3 linked regions of the Macaca fascicularis genome follow. The protein of the gene in region 2 purifies or fractionates together with the protein of the main gene of each other region. This does not show direct contact. Links are inferred from orthologs where the notes say so. Each region holds a gene or a part of one and is shown on either strand. Other genes may lie near its edges.

Region 1 (5,960 bases), on a different chromosome or scaffold from region 2:
GTTGTAGAGCTTTTCATCAAACTCGCTAGGCTAACTGGCAAGGGCGGGACCTGGTGCTGCACTCTGGCTTGCGTGCATTGCTACTAATCATTCCCCTGTGTGCTTGGGAGAGAATGGAACCAGCTGTCACATCTACTGGGACAAGAGGCCTTGCAGTTCCATAAAATTTGGCAATAAAAAGTGGGGTCTTTCAACTTGTGACGTTGACAGTCTTTAAATAAGTGGTTCTCAGTGTGTTTTCCCACTCGGTCACAGGGTGTTATGTGGCCTATGCAGGGATTCTCAGTGGAGAAGGGGACTGAAGTCCTGGGGATGGGGCCTATGCAGGGATTCTCAGTGGGGAAGGGGACTGAAGTCCTGGGGATGGGAAAACTGTACTTGGATGAGGCCTGCTAGGTGATCTTGTCACCCGCCCCTCTTGGGGGATTACTTCTTTAAATACATTATGGAAAAATCCATGATGATTCAAGTTAGCAAGCTTGTAAGCATAAAAATGATCTTCATGAATTCTGAATTAAAAAAAAAAAAATCACTGTAGTTGGAAAATACTTCAAATAATCCATCTGTAACATTATTGTTGGCCAAGAGCTCAGGGTGGATTAAATTAGTAAAACTCTTGAATCACTGTGCTTTTGTAATTCAGAATGTGGTTCAGAAACTGGACATTTTTGAGGGTACCTAAGCATTTCTTTTCTGGATATTTACACTATGAAAATAACAATAAAAACTAATTGGTCATATTGGAGTCAGTTTTCCTATTCCATGAGCCCAGTCGAGGACGCTTTCAGGGTTTTTGAATCCTGAAGTCTGACTTTAAGTTGAGTTACTTGCCCTCAAGTTTGCCTCTCAGCCCAATTAAGACAGTCGCCCCCACCCATCCAATCAAAAAGAAACATGATAAAACCACAAATATGAGGCTGTAATTCCAGCACTTTGGGAGGGCGAGGTGGGTGGATCACTTGAGGTCAGGAGTTCAAGACCAGCCTGGCCAACATGGTGAAACCCCATCTCTACTAAAAATACAAAAATTAGCTGGGCATGGTAGTGCATGGCTATAATCCCAGCTATTCCAGAGGCTGAGGCAGGAGAATCACTTGAACCGGGGAGGCAGAGGTTGCAGTAAGCCTGTGTGACAGAGGGAGACTGTCTCCAAAAAAAAAAAAGAAAAAACAGAAAAACCACATACGTGTATATATGCCATACAAACTATATGAACCATTCGAGTTTTTTTCCATGATGATTACTACAATGTTTTTTAAAAAATCATATTATAAATGAGAGTACTCCAACTACTTGGTTTTGGTGCCCAGCTTGGTTGCACTCAGCGGCTACAGGGTAAACCCACCCCTTGTATGGCACTCACCCATAAACAGCGTATCTCAGAGGCCCACCGACATCTAGATTTCTAGAGTGTTCTTTTTTCCGCTTCTTCTCAATCATCTGGGCCAGGAAATTCCCAAGTGCTGACAAAATGCCACTGTGGAGAGGGAGGTCATCAGAAAACAGAAGTGACCAGCAGGAGGGTGTCCCCTTCCCACAGGTGAATGAGCAGGGCCGTTCTGAGGCCATGCAGCAGATGCGGGAGCGGCGGGAGTTGGAATTATTGTTAAAGGGGCTCAATGTATAGTTCTTGTATCAAAAGGTGGAGACTGCAGGGCTCGGCGGCTCACACCTGTAATCCCAGCACTGTGGGAGGCCAAGGTGGGCGGATCACGAGGTCAGGAGATCGACTCCATCCTGGCTAACACGATGAAATCCCGTCTCTACTAAAAATACAAAAATTAGCCAGGCAGGGTGGTGGGCGCCTGTAGTCCCAGCTACTGGGGAGGCTGAGGCAGGAGAATGTTGTGAACCCTGGAGGCGGAGCTTGCAGTGAGTGGAGATCGCACCACTGCACTCCAGCCTGGGCGACAGAGCGAGACTCTGTCTCAAAAAAAAAAAAAAAAAAAGGTGGAGACAGTGGACTTACATACATAGATAAGGACAAGCGGCTTTCCAGTATCAATGTTAACCTCCTGGCTGTGATGTTATACTGTAACTTTTGCAGTTTGGGAGTAAGGAAGCTGTGTGGTTATGAAAGGGCAACAGGACGGCCCTATCATGACACTGTTCTGCATTTTGACTGTGGTAGTGAACATGTGAACGTACAGATGTGATAAAACTGTACAGAACAGATACAACTACAAGAAAAATGGAGAAATCTGAATAGGATCTGTGGACTGTGTCCATGCCATGCCCTGGTTGATACTGCACTGCAGTTTCACAGAATGTAACCAATGGGGGACACTGGGAAGGTGTACAAGGGATCTCTCCATATTAGTCTTGTAACTGTGAATCTACAATTAGCACAATAAAAATTTCCATAAAAATGTGGAACACGCCCAGTGGCTCCCTCCAGGCCTTGGTTTGTATTTGCCTTCTGAGAAGCTCTCTGGACTATAAAATCCAAAATTCCTAGCACGGACCTAGACACCTTCTGGATCAGATCCCTGGCGATTCCCTTCACATCTCCTGCCTCTTGCTCAGGGTTCACGTTCTCCACACACAGATCTTCCCTCCCTCGGGACTGAGTCCAAGCTGCACCTCTCCCAGCCTTTCTTTAACGCCGGCCTTCCCTTCAAAACCTAACAGGGACCTTTGCCCTGCTGTTCCCTGTGCCAGGAGAGCCTCTGCTCCACTTCTTTACACAGCCTGTTCAATGTCACCTTCTCAAAAAATACCTTCCCTGGCCATGTCTCCACCCGCGCCGTGCGGACCCGAGTCCCCCAGACCCGCTCCCTTGGCCCTGTCTCCACCCGCGCCATGCGGACCCGCTCCCTGGCCGTGTCTCCACCCGCGCCATGCGGACCCGCTCCCTGGCCGTGTCTCCACCCGCGCCATGCGGACCCGCTCCCTGGCCGTGTCTCCACCCGCGCCATGCGGACCCGCTCCCTGGCCGTGTCTCCACCCGCGCCATGCGGACCCGCTCCCTGGCCGTGTCTCCACCCGCGCCATGCGGACCCGCTCCCTGGCCGTGTCTTCACCCGCGCCCCGCAGACCCGCTCCCTCGGCCCTGTCTGCACCCGCGCCGTGAGGACGCGCTCCCCTGGCCGTGGCTTCCCCGGGTGCGCGGCGCCCCTGTCGGGTCCTTGGGTGGAACCTCAGCGCCGAGCCCCCGGGGTCCGGGCGGGCCCTCCACGCGCTGGGAGGGCGGGATCCGCGAGGCGCCTCACAATCGCTGACTGGGGACGCGGGTGTCGCCGCGGGAAGTTCAGCACCGGCTCGGAGGGCGCCCGCTGCGGGGGCTCTGACCCGGGCGCGCCCCCAGACTGGTCCCGGCCCCGCGCTCCTGTCCAGGCCCCGCGCCACTGCGGCCGACCTGGGGCCGGGGCGGCGTCCGATTCCCGCACCGGCCGCGCCCCCGCTCACCTGGTGGCCGCCTTGGTGAGCACCGGGTAGAGCCGCAGGAAAAGCAGGTACTGGGCGAGCGCCCGCCGCGGGAGCGCCCCGAGCCCGGCTTCGGCCCGCAGCCTGGACGCGGCCGGCGCCATCGCCTCCCCAGCGCCGCGCTGCCGGGGGCATCGACCCCACCTCAGGCAGGCCGGGCGCGGAGCCCGAGGCGCGGAGCGCGGAATGGGGAAGGCCTGACATTTCCGGCCGCACCGCGGTCCGCAGCGCCGCCCGGTCCCAACCCCACGGTGCGGCGCGCGCGCCTCCGCACACTTTTCCCCGGTCCCTGCCGGCCACCTCCCCCGCAGGGCGCCGGCGCCTATTGGAGCGTCTCGGGGGGCGGGCGAGGGGCGGGGCGCGCCTCTTGATGGACGGCGGCACTTACGGCTCTCGCGAGACTGGGTAGGAGCGCGCCAAATTTCTCCCGCGAAACAGAGGGTGTAGCCTGCGGCTCCATGGCCCTGAGGAGCGGCTGGCGGCGGCGCGCGGACCCGGGCGCGGACGGCGAAGCCAGCAGGTGAGGGGCGCACTCCTGAGGCCCTCGGGCCGGCCCTTCGGAGGATGCCATGGGGCCGGGCTTGGGTGGCGCCGCCGAGGCGGGAGGGAGACGCGGGCCCCGCACTCGCCGCGCCTGACAGGGGTAGGGCTGCGCGCCCCGACAGCCGACCGAGGGGCCCGGGGCGGGCGGAGGCGCTACGGGCGCGGCTTCCCGCGGGGAAACGAGGCGGGCCGCGCGGCCTTCCCCTGCTCGGCTCTTCCTGAGGTTTTTCGGGCCTCGCCTTGCGCGCAGCTGCGTTTGGGGCCTGCCGCGCGGCGGGGGCGATGAGAGCGGCGGGACCCGGGCCTGGCCCTGCGGGGTGGACGCGTGGCCGGGGAGGGTGCGGGGAGGGGCCGGGCCGGGGACCGTGCCTGGGGGCCCGGCGCTGGGAGAGACCGAGGCGGGCAGATCGCTGGAGCCCAGGATCCTGTTCCAGATCAGCCTGGGCCACAGAGCGAGACCCGTTCTCCTCTATTTATTTTATTTTTTTGGACAGGGAGTCCCGCTCTGTCGCCCAGGCTGGAGTGCAGTGGCGCGATCTCGGCTCACTGCAACCTCCGCTTCCCGGGTTCAGGCGATCCCGCTGCCTCACTCAGCCTCCCGAGTAGCTGGGACTGCAGGCGCCTGCCACCGCGCCCGGCTAGTTTTTGTATTTTTGGTAGAGACGGGGTTGCACCATGTTGGCCAGGCTGGTCTCGAACTCCTGACCTCAGGTCATCCGCCCGCCTCCGCCTCCCAAAGTGCTGGGATAACAGGCGTGAGCCCCCGCGCCCGGCCCTTCTCTTGTAAAAACAAGAAAAATTAGCCGGGCTGGTGGTGCGCGCCTGAGGTCCCAGCTATTAATACTCCGGAGTCCGAGGCCGGAGGTTCACCTGAGCCCGGCAGGTCGAGGCTGCTGTGAGCCAGAATCGGGCCTCCGCACTCCAGCCTGGGCGACGGAGCCAGACCCTGTCTCAAAAAAAATAGAACAAGGGTAAGACGCGGCTACTTGGTGGCCACAGCAAACGGTAAACATGACCAGAGACCTGACCTTCTGCCATAAGCAGAAAATGTGTGAGGCCCGGCGGGGTGGCTCACGCCTGTAATCCCAGCACTTTGGGAGGCCAAGGCAGGCGGATCACCTGAGGTCAGGAGTTCGACACCAGCCTGGACGACACGGAGAAACCCCGGCTCCACTAAAAAAATACAAAATTAGCCGGGTGTGGTGGCGCGTGCCTGTAATCACAGCTACTCAGGAGGCTGAGACAGGAGAATCCGTTGAACCTAGTAGGCAGAGGTTGCGGTGAGCCGAGATGGCGCCTTTTTTCTCCAACCTGGGCAACAAAGAACGAAACTCTGTCTCAAAAAAAAAAAAGAAAGAAAGAAAAAGGAAACGTGAGAACGCGAAGCTTTTTACAGACACTTAGCTGAACAAAATTCTTCCCAGAGGAGAAACCGACTAGTAAGGATCCCTAACTGCTGTTGTGCTAATCGCTGTCTATCCATAGTCCCATTTGGTCCTCAGGCAAGCCCTGGAGAGGGTAGGTACCCTTAGTATCTACCTTGTGTGTTGGAACTTGTTGCTTAGAGACGTTCACTGACTGCCCTGGTTCAGGACCAGGACTGCCCTCCCCTTCTCCACTCCACTGCCCTGCCCCAAGCTCAGTGACAGCCTCCAGGCAGGGGGAAGGCTGCAGCTGGGATAAGTACAAGTGATGGCTTTTACCTTATATGCCGTATGTGGGTTACCTCATCTCATCCTTAAAACAGTCCTGGGACGTGAGTGTGCCCCAGGAAGCAGTGGGTGCTATGTGCTGCATTTCTTCTTCTGTGAAATGGGGACACCGGTGGCCTCCCTCTTAGGGGCTGTCGTGAAAACTGAATGAGAGCGTATGTGGAGTACTAGGACAATGTGGTATAGTAACCAGTCAATGGTAGCTCTCTGTGTGACTGTTATCCCCATTTTTCAGAATTCTTACTGTCACTGGATTAAAAGTGAGATACACAGCTCAGA
Region 2 (5,899 bases):
ACATTAGAAAGGCAGAAGGAGCAGTCAGTAGTAGGTCAGTAAATACTGAGATGAGATGTTAGGAGTATTAGTAGTAAAAATAGAAAAGCAGAAACAAGTTTAAGAAATAATGCAAAGAAAGAGTCATGCTTGTTTTTTACTCCATTTTAATTATCTATTATCTTTTAATTAACATGCTTATATTACATTAGTTTAAAGCCAATTGACTAGGTGTAGTGGCTCACATCTGTAATTCCAGTACTTTGAGAGGCCAAGGTGGACATATCACTTGAGGTCAGGAGTTAAAGACCAGCCTGGCCAACATGGTGAAACCCTGTCTCTACTAAAAATACAAAAATTAGCCGGGCATGGTGGCGCAAGCCTGTAGACCCAGCTACTCAGGTGGCTAAGACAGGAGAATCACTTGAACCCTGGAGATGGAGGCTGTAGTGAGCCAAAATTAAACCACTGCACTCCAGCCTGGGTGACAGTGAAACTCGTCTCAAAAAATAAAATAAAGCCAATAGAGATGCCTGTTGATAGACAAGTTTTCTTTTTTTTTAACGTGTTTGTTATACCTATAGCCATATTGGAGATCCACATGTAAGCAATTTGAATGAGAAACCCTGGAATAAATTATGTTGCAGGTATTGGGGAAACAAGTTTATCAGGAAAGGATTTGATTACAGAAGTTTAGAATTGTAAAGGACTTAGAAAGTGATTTAGTGGCAGAATTAGGGCTGGAATTTAGGCTTTATAACTTACAGTTCATAATATTTTTATCCCAAAACACACTACTTGTGGTCAGAAGGAAACAGGTTTTGCACAGATACGATTTTACATGTCTGTGCCCTGTCTGTGAAAGACATAGTAAGTCTTTCTGGTGCTTGATGCAGTACTCAAATGTGTGTTTGGGAAGCTAAGCATGAAAGTGATGAGGTGACTTAACACAGGAATTTTTTTCATTTAAAATTCTTACCTTGTGTCATACTTACTGTGTGTATATCTCATCATACCTGCGGCTCACCTCCACTTAGCTACCTTACAGCAGGGGGTGGTCCTGATTTATCTCTTTGTCCTTGCTGTGCCCAGAACAAGACCTAAATAATAGGTGCTCTCCAAGTGCTAAAACAGATCTGTATGTGAAACAGTTGCTACATTCTTACAGATCTGAATAGAACAATTCCAAAGGAGGAAAGGGACGTCTAGAGTTACCTCTATCTGAGCATCCCCGGTGTTCACTCAGTTGGAGGTTGGGTTCTGTGTGGAGAAAAGGAGATTGGTCAGGGAAAGCAAGTCTATTACTAACTACTACATTCTAATTGCCCTGCTCAGTCCAAGGTCCCAGATGCTCTCTTTCTAACATTGAGTTCTAAGTTCCTGGCCCTGTGTCCTTTAATCAAACAGTTCTAATAGAGAATAGGAAATGAGAGATGCCACTAGATTGGGCAGACAGATGTGCCTGATTAGGGACTGCAAGAGCAAAGAGTGGCCAATGAGTGCCTACTAAGTTTTAAACCCTAGCCTAGGAGTTGGGCTTTACAGCAGCGAAGACAACAGACGAAAATCTTCGCCTTCATAGTGTTTAAATTCTGCACGGTGGGGAGCGGAGAATAAACAAGCACGGTAGATAATATGTCAGATAGTGTTCAGTGTTAAGAAGAAAAGGAATGGCCAAGTAAAGTGTTTCAGAGAAGATAACATTTGAATGAAATAATGAAGTGAAGCCGGGCGCAGTGGCTCACGCCTGTAATCCCCAGCACTTTGGGAGGCTGAGGTGGGTGGATCACCTGAGGTCAGTAGTTCGAGACCAGCCTGGCTACCCAGACTGGCCAACAAGGTAAAACCCCGTCTCTACTAAAAATACAAAAATTAGCCTGATGTGGTGGTGCATGCCTGTAATCCCAGCTACACGGGAGGCTGAGGCAGGAGAATCGCTTGAACCCAGGAGGCCAAGGCTGCAGTGAGCCAAGATAGCGCCACTGCATTCCAGCCTAGGCGACAGAGCGAGACTCCGTCTCAACAAAAGAAGTGAGAGAAAGTAGTATGTTATGTACCATAATTGTCATATCAATCATATATGTATAGATTCTGGTTATTTGTAGGCAGTTTGTCTCAATCTAGCCTACTCATAGCTCAGGAAGAAATAATGAAAGAGCTTCGCCAGGTAATTTGGGAAGTTGAAAGGAGTCCGGGCCTCTAAAACCAGGCAGAAAATAACACTATCTTATCCTTAATTCTGTGTTTCACAGGCGAAAGGGGAAAAATACCCAAAACAGAAACTCAAAGCTTCCTGGCCCTTTAAAAATGGCGGTTCCGCACTGGCCAACAATACCATTGGTTGCCCGAGGCAGAAGAGGGCAGGAACGAAGGGGTGGAGGGCGTGGCGGCGCCGAGGGGTCCCGCCTCCTACGGCAAGTCGGAGGTAGCAAGATGGCGGCCGCTGAGGAAGACTGTGGTGTCGGGGCAGAAGCAGACAGGGAATTGGAGGAGCTTCTGGAAAGTAAGAGCCCATAGTGGGAAAGGCCCGAAGAGGGCAGTTGTGAGGACCCATTCCGGGCGTTAAGTGAACCTGAGGTATTAGGGACAGGGCGGGAGAGGATCTCCAAAGGTTAAATGGGGGCGGAGAGTCTGACCGCCAGCCCCCCAAAAAATCTCTGGGTCATCCTGCCCCACCTCCGCGACTGGAGCTGGGGAACTCACCTGGGGTCCCCCAGTGGTCCAGATTGTGGATGTTTCCGCAGGACGGCGTTTCATGATACCTCTCCAAACTCCTCTTTCTTTAGGTTACTAAGTTCTTAAAGTCCGACTTCAGCAGCAGCAGCAGCAGCATTTGGTTCTTGTTGGGTAGCGAACCACGCACTCACTGATTGCTTACATTAACTCCTAGCAAGCTCGTGGCCCATGCTGCTGCGCCTCGTCCTGCCTTCCTTGACATGAAAGACACTTTTCTCCTCGTAGTCCTTTTCTCTTTCTCTCGTTAGGCCCCTTAACAGTTCTTTCATCTTGTTAGTAGCTCAAGCGGACTCCTTTCCCTTATTTTGAGAAACTGAGGATGTGGCGATTTCAGGGGAAAGCAGTTCACCCTCCTGAAAGACGGTGGATGTTTTCTTAGCATTACTGTCCACTCCCCTGTTGGCTTCCTGCCCAGAGTGGGGCCAGTGCTCTCTCCCTGGGCCTGGCAAGCAGAATGGTGGTGAGGACACAGGCTTTTCAGGGCAGAGGTGAATTTGTAATCTCTTGCTCGATCACAGAGATGTGGGCAGGCAGAAGAATGAACAGAAACGCTGAGGAGTGCCAAGTGACTGTAAATTAGCCTACGGTTATCTGCAAAGATCAGACCAAAAGGAGCTCTAGGAGGTTGTGGGAGAGCACTAAACTGGAGAATAAGAGAAGATAGTTTAATGCCTTACCATGGAATGTAGTATGTGGTCCCTCAGTCTGTGCTGGTACCAGTACCAACAAGAAGCTGGGTGGGATGTCATGTGCCTTCTCACCAAGTTATTCCTTTTAGAGCTCCAGAGTGAGTTCAGAGGGATGAGGACATCTGTGTTCTCTACTCCTGTTGGGTATTTATTTGTATGGGATTTCTAGGGAATCATTAGGTTGTGGCAAGGGAGACACTATAGATGGAGATGTCTCTGCAGAAATTTTTAATCCTCTCCTCCCAGCTCTGAGATGGATACTTGTTCCACCGTAAGGGATTTCTTGCCTTTGCTCACAATAAATTAGGTAATCTGGAAGGAAGTAGGAGGCTCATTGAGGGTGGTCTGGGGAGGTGGGGGCCTCAAGGCGGAAAATTGAGGAAAGTTGGCAATTTGAAAAATCATATTCGTAATGCTTTGCCCAGAAACCACCCAGCCTTGCTTGCATCCTCATCTGTCGCCAACACACACACCATGTCTCTTGTCTCTGAAGGTGCTCTTGATGATTTCGATAAAGCCAAACCCTCCCCAGCACCCCCTTCTACCACCACGGCCCCTGATGCTTCGGGGCCCCAGAAGAGATCGCCAGGAGACACTGCCAAAGTATAAATTCCACCCCCTGAAGGGATGGGGAGGGGATGGGCATGCAGCTCTGAGCAGAGGTTGGGCAGGCCCCTATGGGCCAGAGGGGAATGGGGGAGGGTACCTTGGCCTCACATTGGTGAGTGCTCTTGCCAGCCTCAGTCCTTGTGAAATAAGGACTTGAGGTTGAGTGGAGGAATCTCAGAGTTCCTTGAAAAAATAGTAGGTTTAAATGGTTGGATTGGTATGCCATCCCATACCCTCTTTCAAAGACTAGATACCTTTTTTGCTATTCTCATTAGGAGCAGTAGTTAGAGTGTCCAGTGGAAGTGGGTAGGAGGGAAGTGCATTTCCCATAGCTACTGCCTGTGGCTTCTATCAGAGGCCAGGTGCAGTGTAGTTCTAAGTAAGAGATGCATTTCAGCCACCCTTCCCCCGCAGGATGCCCTCTTCGCTTCCCAAGAGAAGTTTTTCCAGGAACTATTCGACAGTGAACTGGCTTCTCAAGCCACTGCAGAGTTCGAGAAGGCAATGAAGGAGTTGGCTGAGGAAGAGCCCCACCTGGTGGAGCAGTTCCAAAAGCTCTCGGAGGCTGCGGGGAGAGTGGGTGAGGAGACCTTAGATACATGGAAATATCTGAACAGATTCTTAAGTCTTTGTTGCCTGAAAACACCAGAATTCTTAGTGAAGTTGATAGTAATCATGATGTCACAGCCATGGAATGGGTAAAGGCAATGAGAGAAGGGGTGGAAATCCCTCTTTTTTTTTTTTTTTTTTTTTTTTTTTGAGACGGAGTCTCGCTGTGTCTCCCAGGCTGGAGTGCAGTGGCGTGATCTCGGCTCACTGCAAGCTCCGCCTCCCGGGTTCACGCCATTCTCCCGCCTCAGCCTCCCAAGTAGCTGAGACTACAGGCGCCCGCCACCACGCCCGGCTAGTTTTTTGTATTTTTAGTAGAGACGGGGTTTCACCATGTTAGCCAGGATGGTCTCGATCTCTTGACCTCGTGATCCACCCGCCTCGGCCTCCCAAAGTGCTGGGATTACAGGCTTGAGCCACCGCGCCCGGCCGAAAATCCCTCTTAATGAAAAGGGGCGAGATAGGTTAGAAAGTAATAGAAAAGATTATTCAAAACTGACCATTTGAAAGGTCACAGTGTTATTGTGGGTATCATCATGGAGAATAAACTGACATAGAGTCCGTGTATTAAATAGATGTATGAAAAGACTATCAGGATAACCGCAGTTTTCCCAGATGGGGAGTGATAATGATTCACTAGTAAATGCTTCATATCCAAGCTGGTAACCAGTTCAGTCTAGGCAAGGAAACAAATTCCTAAATGACGCTGGCTTTTTAAATCTCTCCTAGGCAGTGATATGACCTCCCAACAAGAATTCACTTCTTGCCTAAAGGAGACACTAAGTGGATTAGCCAAAAATGCCACTGACCTTCAGGTGAGGAGAAAGTAGTAGGGTCCCACAAGGGGTCCACTCTCAGACACTTCTGCAGCAGAGTCTCAAAAGACAGATGCTTTGAGTATCATCCCAAGTCTGTTCCTGTCTTGTTTTGTTACAGGCAAGTTTAGGTAGTTTATCTTTCCCACCTGACAGAGTGTGAGCATCCCAAGAAGGTGGTATACCTGCTCACCTCTTACTTGTCCTATCTAGAACTCTGGCATGTCGGATGAAGAGCTGACCAAGGCCATGGAGGGGCTAGGCATGGACGAAGGGGATGGGGAAGGGAACATCCTCCCCATCATGCAGAGTATTATGCAGAACCTACTCTCCAAGGATGTGCTGTACCCATCACTGAAGGAGATCACAGAAAAGGTTTGTGAACTTCCATTTCTGCTTTTTCTCTTCATTTTCCATCACATCCACTCATGTGGGCTATTTTGTCTACTCAGAGCCTGCAGA
Region 3 (5,893 bases), on a different chromosome or scaffold from region 2:
CCCGGCTTTGGTACTCTCACATGGGCTTGGCTAAAGGTCAGGTGTCCGGGACATCCCCTGCAGGGTCAGGGCTGGGGGGCGGGCAGGGGGCAGGTCCCTTGGGCTTCTGGGCTCGCAGAAGGCTGAGCAGATCAGGCGGGGATCCTTAGAAGGGATGTCAGGGTGTGCAGGAGCACCAGGGACCAGTCCCGGAAGTTTGAATCTCTAAACTGGATAAGCTAAGGGGTCAGAGGTGGGGGCCTAGGCCCCCTGAGTCCCCAAGGAGAATGGATCACTCACCAAGGAGGCAGGCCAAGACCCTCATGGTTGCAGCCAGGGCAGGGGATGGGGTGAAAGGGGAAGGAGAGCGGGAGAGAAGAGGAGGAGGCAGCTGGGGAGAGAGGGAGGGAGGGAAGCGCCTGCCGGAGGCGCCCAGGCCCGAGGAGAAGCAGGCAGGGCTGGACACTTTGCCAGGAGAAAGAAAGAGGCTGCAGGGAGGCGGCAGGGGACAGGGGGGGCGGGAGGGGGCTGGCCGGCGGCTCAGGCATGGGGGGGAGGGGGGTGGCGGGCGGGAGGGAGGGTGTCCAACTGCAGACACCCACACGGGAGACGGAGACGACGGCCAGGCGTGCTGCAGCCAGCGAAGTGCTGTGCTCAGAGATGCTCAGGGGGTGGCTGGCTGCAGGAAGGCGCAGGACAGGGGCTGGGGGACGTGTGCGTGGGGGTGCAGCACGAGCAGGAGAGGGCGCCCACCTGTCTTCTCTCTTGTCTGGTCAGGGAAATCCACTGAGACTGCTGCTAGGGTTGGGGCTTGGGCAGACCCAGGGGCTCTTGGTGCAGCAGCAAGAAGATTTGCAGCCAGACACCAGGAGGGACTTCCTGGGTTAGGAAAAGAGACTGAAAGACCCGTCCCTCCAGTCCTCCCCGTCACTGGTGGATCTGAGTGTGAAGCCCGCAGTCCCCAGCTGAGAGAGGAGAGTTTGAACTTCACCGTCCCAGAGGGAGCTGGGGTCGGGGGATAAGCAGCACGAGGGTCAAGGCTTGGGAAGGGGAGGGGCTCCACACACTCCTCCACACACTCACACACACCCCACTCCCTGCACACCAGGCAGCTGTGAGGTGGAAAAAATTCGGTAATAGGGAGCGTGACTCAGAAGGGCTGGCAGGGCCCAGGGCTGCCCCTGAGCTCACAGCCTCCCCTTCTCCCGGTCCAGCACCGCCCCCCAACAATTAACGTTAACTGGGGAAAGGAGGAGCCAGACAGAAATGGGCGGGGGGTGTCCGGAGACAGACTGGGAAAGGCATCAGAGATGAGACAGGCACACAGCGGTTCCAGGCTTTATTAACAAACGGTGGAAAAAACCAGATGGGTCTGGGGGAAGGGACAGGGCTGCCCATCTCAGCTCTCGACCGACCTTCCCGGAGAGGGGCCAGGCCTGGCAGCCCTGTGCGCCGCGCCCGCTAAGCAGTCAACCTTGTCCCCTCCAAGCACAGGCATCTGACCCAATCTGGGTCCCAGGGAGGCGGAGTCGCAAACCCTAACTCGAGGGCATATTCTGCTGGGCCTCCTCTCCCCCTCCCCAGATAGCTCTCCCAGGCTTGGGGCACAGACTTTGCAGACATCCACCGGGGAGATTTCTCAGTGCAGACAGAGCTGAGGTAGGGGTTTTGGAGAGGCTGACCTCGAGAGGCCCCTGAGGGCCAGGAAGGAAAAGGAGTCATTTCACTCTTAGAAGCTCAAACACTCCAGACCTCACACTGCCGACTGCCGGGCACAGGCCAGGCTCCTCCCCTCGGCAGGCCTCTGTTTCTGGGCCCTGGGTGGCTGAGGACTCACCGAGGGAGAGCACGTAAAAGTACCTGCACACAGTAGGCGCTCTTCAGGTGCTGGCGCCCCTCCCTCCTTCCCTGCCCTGGCTGTCAGCCTGTAGCCTCACAGGTCTTTGCTGAATTCCCTCACCAGCGTGTAGCCCAGGCAGCCCCAGCCCCCCTCGGCCTGGTAGCCGCAGCCCTCCAGCATCCCCGCCACTCCCCAGGCAGCCACAGCCACGGGGACCACGAGCCGGGCCTGGGGCTCCCCCATGCCCCCAGCCCAGGCCCGAGCCCGGGCCTCCGCGAAGGCCAGCAGCCTCCTGCCCACGCCCCGGCGGCGGTGCCAGCGAGAGACAGACAGGCGGGTGACCCGGGCCCCGTCCCCCGCGTTCGTGCCAGGGGCCAGGGCCAGGACCCCACACACGTCACCGGAGCCCCGCACGGCCACCCAGGGCCCCCCCAGGCCACCCGGTGGAGGCAGTGAGCCCCATCGGGCCCGCAGGCCCAGCTTCACCGCAGTCACAGCCAGGAACACCGGCAGGAGGAGGGCCAGGGCGAAGGAGGCCAGGACAAAGCGCAGGCCGCTGCTGGCCGCCGCCAGGAGGAGCAGGGCCGGCGGCCGTGTCAAGGCATGGAGGGCCACGCGGTTTTCCGTGTCCTTCACGCCGGCCTGTGGGCAGGAGGGGTGGCTCAGCCATCCAAAACACTAGGGCCTCCTAGAGAGAGGTAGACCCTGCCCGGGGTGGGGCGAGGGCTCCCAAATGGGAAGGGAAAGCAGCACAGTCCCATGGTCACCAGTGTGGCACGCTGGGTGTGGAGTGAATGAACGAGAGTGAATGATGGATGGAAGAATGAATCAGGAGCTGTGGGGGCACTCAATTCAGTAGCAATGCCGCAGTGAGGCGCCAGGAAAGTAGGGACAGGGAGCCTGCCTCAGGCTGGAGTGGAGGCTGGAGGGGGGCTGCTAGGCTAGACTGGGGGGCTGGCTATGCTTTGAAGAGCTGGGGTCGGAGGCACAGAGCTGGCTGTTGCGCTGGAGTGCCGGGCCCTCTGGAGATGCGAGACTAGGAAGGGCGTTAGTGCTGCGGTCCCAGTAGGGCTGGGGGGTGAGCCCCCGGCTGCCACACGTGCTGCAGCTTTCAGCAGCACCTCCAGCTGCTGAACACCTTCCCGGCCCCCAGGGCGGCTGAGGACCAGGAAGAAAAGATCCCGCTCCGGGGGTTCAGGCTGGCTCAGGTGGGTGGGAGGGGGTGGCTGAATCCACTTGCAATGCCCCCGCTTCCAGCCACTCCCAGGCCCCCTGGGGCCCCTGCCTCTCACCTTCAGCATCTCCAGCACCAGGGGCTTCTCATCCTCCCTCATCTCCCGCACTGACAGGTGGCTGGGGGCCATGGCAGCCCCCAGGCCCCCGCCCCCAAGAAGGGAGCTGGCGTCGTGCACCTGGTGAGAACACAAGCAGGTCAGCGCCAGGGGGGCACCTCTGTCCCCAAAGCCCCCCGAGGGGTGGGTAGCAGCAGCAGCAGCACTTCCCCGATCAGGACAATGAGAGCCCTCGGGACCCACAAGCGAGGCTCTGGGCAGGACAGGCGCCCCCCACAATACTCAGCGACCTTGCTAGTCTCCAGGACCCCCCTCCCCCGTATTACTCAGCGATCTACACTCCTAAACACGCTGTGGACGCCCACACTTTGCAGCACGGGGCTCCCTCCCAGGCACGGGGCCACGAGCCCCCTCCCCACATGCCGGAGAACGGACCACGCTCGCTCCGCCCCGGTCCCCAGCGCCCCCTCCCCCACAGTCGTCCCCGTCCCGCGCCACAAGAACAAGGACCCGCAAGCACCTGCACGGGTCGCCTTTGGTCCTTTGACAGGGTTTCGGGAGCGGGTCTGGAGGGGGTCGTCGGCGGAAGTGACGTCAGACCGCGCGCGCTGGGGGCGGGGCGTTGCCCGCTGCGGGTCGTAGCAACCGTTGCTAAGCTCCCGGGAGGGCGGGCGGGGAGCAGTGACCCTGCGGCTGGCCGGGAGGTGACCTCTCCTATCCCTAGAGAAGGAGCAACGGGGAAAGGGGACCCGGGGAAAAAGGGCAGCGGGCGCCGGCAGGAGACGGGCGGCGGGCTGGGGACCAGCGCGAGCTCCCGCCCCACGTTCCCTCGTTGCTGAGCAACCTGAGCGCGGGGCAGCGATGCCCGCGGGTGGATTCTCATGGGTGCCGCGCTCAGCATCCCCCAGCCCAGCGGCACCCCACCCCCCCATCCCCAGGGACCCCATTCCCCCCACGGGGCGCCCGGGCTCGCAGGGCCCTCCCGCATAAGGATCCCCCTATTTCTCAGACGAGGGGTGCAGCAGGGCGACCTACAGTGAACAAGTGGCGCTCCCTGGAGTCAGATGTCACCACCTCCCCACTGTAATGACCCCTGCGTCTTTTGGTTTCAGGACAGGGGAACTGAGCCCCACGTAGTGGCTGGCCCCAGGACGCTGACCCAGGACGCACGAGTTAAGACTCCACGCTCCCAGGCGGGGGCTAGGACCATGACTTTCCCCCTCCGCTCCCCTCAGGAAAACAGAACACAGGCGGGGAGACTCGGGTCTTTATTAGGCAAGGCCAGCCTGCAGCACCCCGCCCCGCCCCGCCCCGGCTGGCAGTGAGTCGGGGTCTCTGTGTGGGGCGGGAGGGGAATCACTGGCTCTCCTCAAAACGTGTGCACCAGCTGGACTGCGGGTAGAGTCTGGACAATCTGGATGGAGGGCAGGCCCTGCGGGGTCATAACACCAGGCCCAGCTCCTGCGGGGACCACTTGTACCATCTGGGAGGCTGGAGCCGCGGGAAGCCCCGCGGGGCCCGAGGCTGGGCCTGAGGGCGGTGGGGCCAGGAGCTGCAGCGTGGCGGCGCCTCCTCCAGTGCTGCTGCTGTCCAGCAACTCAGTGGCTGGGGCGCTGCGGATGATGAGGAGTTTCTGTCCGGGTGGGCCGGTGGCAGGCGGCTCGGTCAGCCCAGGGGAAAGGGTTTCTACCTCCTGTACGCAGAGCTGGGTCTGCTCGCCATCGGCCCCGCTCAGCACTAGCACGCTCTGCAAGCCCTCGTCCGTCTGGAGTGTCTCAAAGAGGACATCCTGGACCACACCGGTGCTGGCCTCACCATCCCCCGCCTCCCCGGGGCCGGGGCCCGTGAGCAACTCCTCAGCTGCTCCGCTCTGAACAACCAGCAGGTTGGGCGCCTCAGTAGCCACAGCTCCCCCACTGGAATTGGAAAGCTGGCCGGCCACAGGCTGGAGCTGGACCGTGGTCACCTCCTGTGCTGGCTGGAGCTGGACCGTGGTTACTTCCTGTGCTGGCTGAAGCTGGACCGTGGTCACCTCCTGTGCTGGCTGGAGCTGGACCGTGGTTACTTCTGGGGCTGGCCGGAGGGACTGGAGCTGCACCCCACTCACTTCCTGTGGCCCTGCCTCCCCACCCCCCACATTCTGCAGAACGATGAGGCTCTGCGCTGCCCCGCTGGCCCCTGCGCTGGCCGCTCCCTGCACCCCTAGACCCCCAGGGCCTGGCAGCCAGACCACTCCCGCCCCCTGGCTGGCTTTCCCCACTGCCCGCGGGCCCTGCCTTGCACGGCCGCTCCCAGCCCCAGCACTGGAGGAGGGCAGCAGGATGAGCTTGGGAGGTGCAGGAGGGGGCGGAGGTGTAGGGGGTTGCACGCTGCTAGGGATCAGCTGGAGGCCCTGGGCAGTTTGCACCAGGAGGAACGTCTGAGAGTTGGGCGCTGCTGGCCCCAAGCTCGGGGCCTGGGCCGTGCCCCCCGCCACCTCGAGGGAGAGCGTGGCCTGGAGGTGGGGCAGGACATGGACATCTTGGGTGGCTGGCGGGGCCCGGGCGGCAGCCAGTGGAGCAGGGGGCTGGGAGCCGGCGGCGGGGGCTGTGGTGCTGGGAGCCGTGTTGGCCGGGGCGTGCGTCCTCAGGTGCCGCTGCAGGTAGGCGGCCATAACGAAGCCGCGACCGCAGATGGGGCAGGTGAAGGGGCGCTCGGCTGAGTGCGTGCGCTGGTGCAGCAGCAGGTTGGAGGAGTGGGTGAAGGTCTTGGGGCAGAGCGGACAGCGGAAGGGCCGCTCGCC

Evidence for each region. The genes of interacting proteins can lie anywhere in the genome.
Region 1: the proteins of PEX19 (region 2) and PXMP2 purify together in Homo sapiens (affinity purification with mass spectrometry; 3 studies listed by BioGRID and IntAct, counting the BioPlex papers as one, with this or other methods). This does not show direct contact. The link is inferred for Macaca fascicularis from reciprocal best matches to the Homo sapiens genes PEX19 and PXMP2.
Region 3: the proteins of PEX19 (region 2) and NAT14 purify together in Homo sapiens (co-immunoprecipitation; 3 studies listed by BioGRID and IntAct, counting the BioPlex papers as one, with this or other methods). This does not show direct contact. The link is inferred for Macaca fascicularis from reciprocal best matches to the Homo sapiens genes PEX19 and NAT14.

What each region holds. Positions count from the first base shown.
Region 1 is NC_088385.1:139,800,124-139,806,083, reverse strand, and holds the start of PXMP2 (peroxisomal membrane protein 2), read right to left. Parts: upstream 3,680-5,960; 5' UTR 3,531-3,679; coding exon 3,409-3,530; intron 1,478-3,408; coding exon 1,364-1,477; intron 1-1,363. Other genes in the region: POLE (DNA polymerase epsilon catalytic subunit A), read left to right, coding at 3,885-3,946. UniProt on the Homo sapiens protein: Seems to be involved in pore-forming activity and may contribute to the unspecific permeability of the peroxisomal membrane.
Region 2 is NC_088375.1:100,773,067-100,778,965, forward strand, and holds the start of PEX19 (peroxisomal biogenesis factor 19), read left to right. Parts: upstream 1-2,400; 5' UTR 2,401-2,412; coding exon 2,413-2,482; intron 2,483-3,897; coding exon 3,898-4,007; intron 4,008-4,427; coding exon 4,428-4,593; intron 4,594-5,351; coding exon 5,352-5,437; intron 5,438-5,650; coding exon 5,651-5,812; intron 5,813-5,899. UniProt on the Homo sapiens protein: Necessary for early peroxisomal biogenesis. Acts both as a cytosolic chaperone and as an import receptor for peroxisomal membrane proteins (PMPs).
Region 3 is NC_088393.1:63,431,904-63,437,796, reverse strand, and holds NAT14 (probable N-acetyltransferase 14), read right to left. Parts: upstream 3,680-5,893; 5' UTR 3,632-3,679; intron 3,232-3,631; 5' UTR 3,184-3,231; coding exon 3,112-3,183; intron 2,462-3,111; coding exon 1,913-2,461; 3' UTR 1,304-1,912; downstream 1-1,303. Other genes in the region: soluble scavenger receptor cysteine-rich domain-containing protein SSC5D, read right to left, coding at 280-304; ZNF628 (zinc finger protein 628), read right to left, coding at 4,481-5,893. UniProt on the Homo sapiens protein: Probable acetyltransferase. May act as a transcription factor that regulates the expression of coproporphyrinogen oxidase by binding to a promoter regulatory element.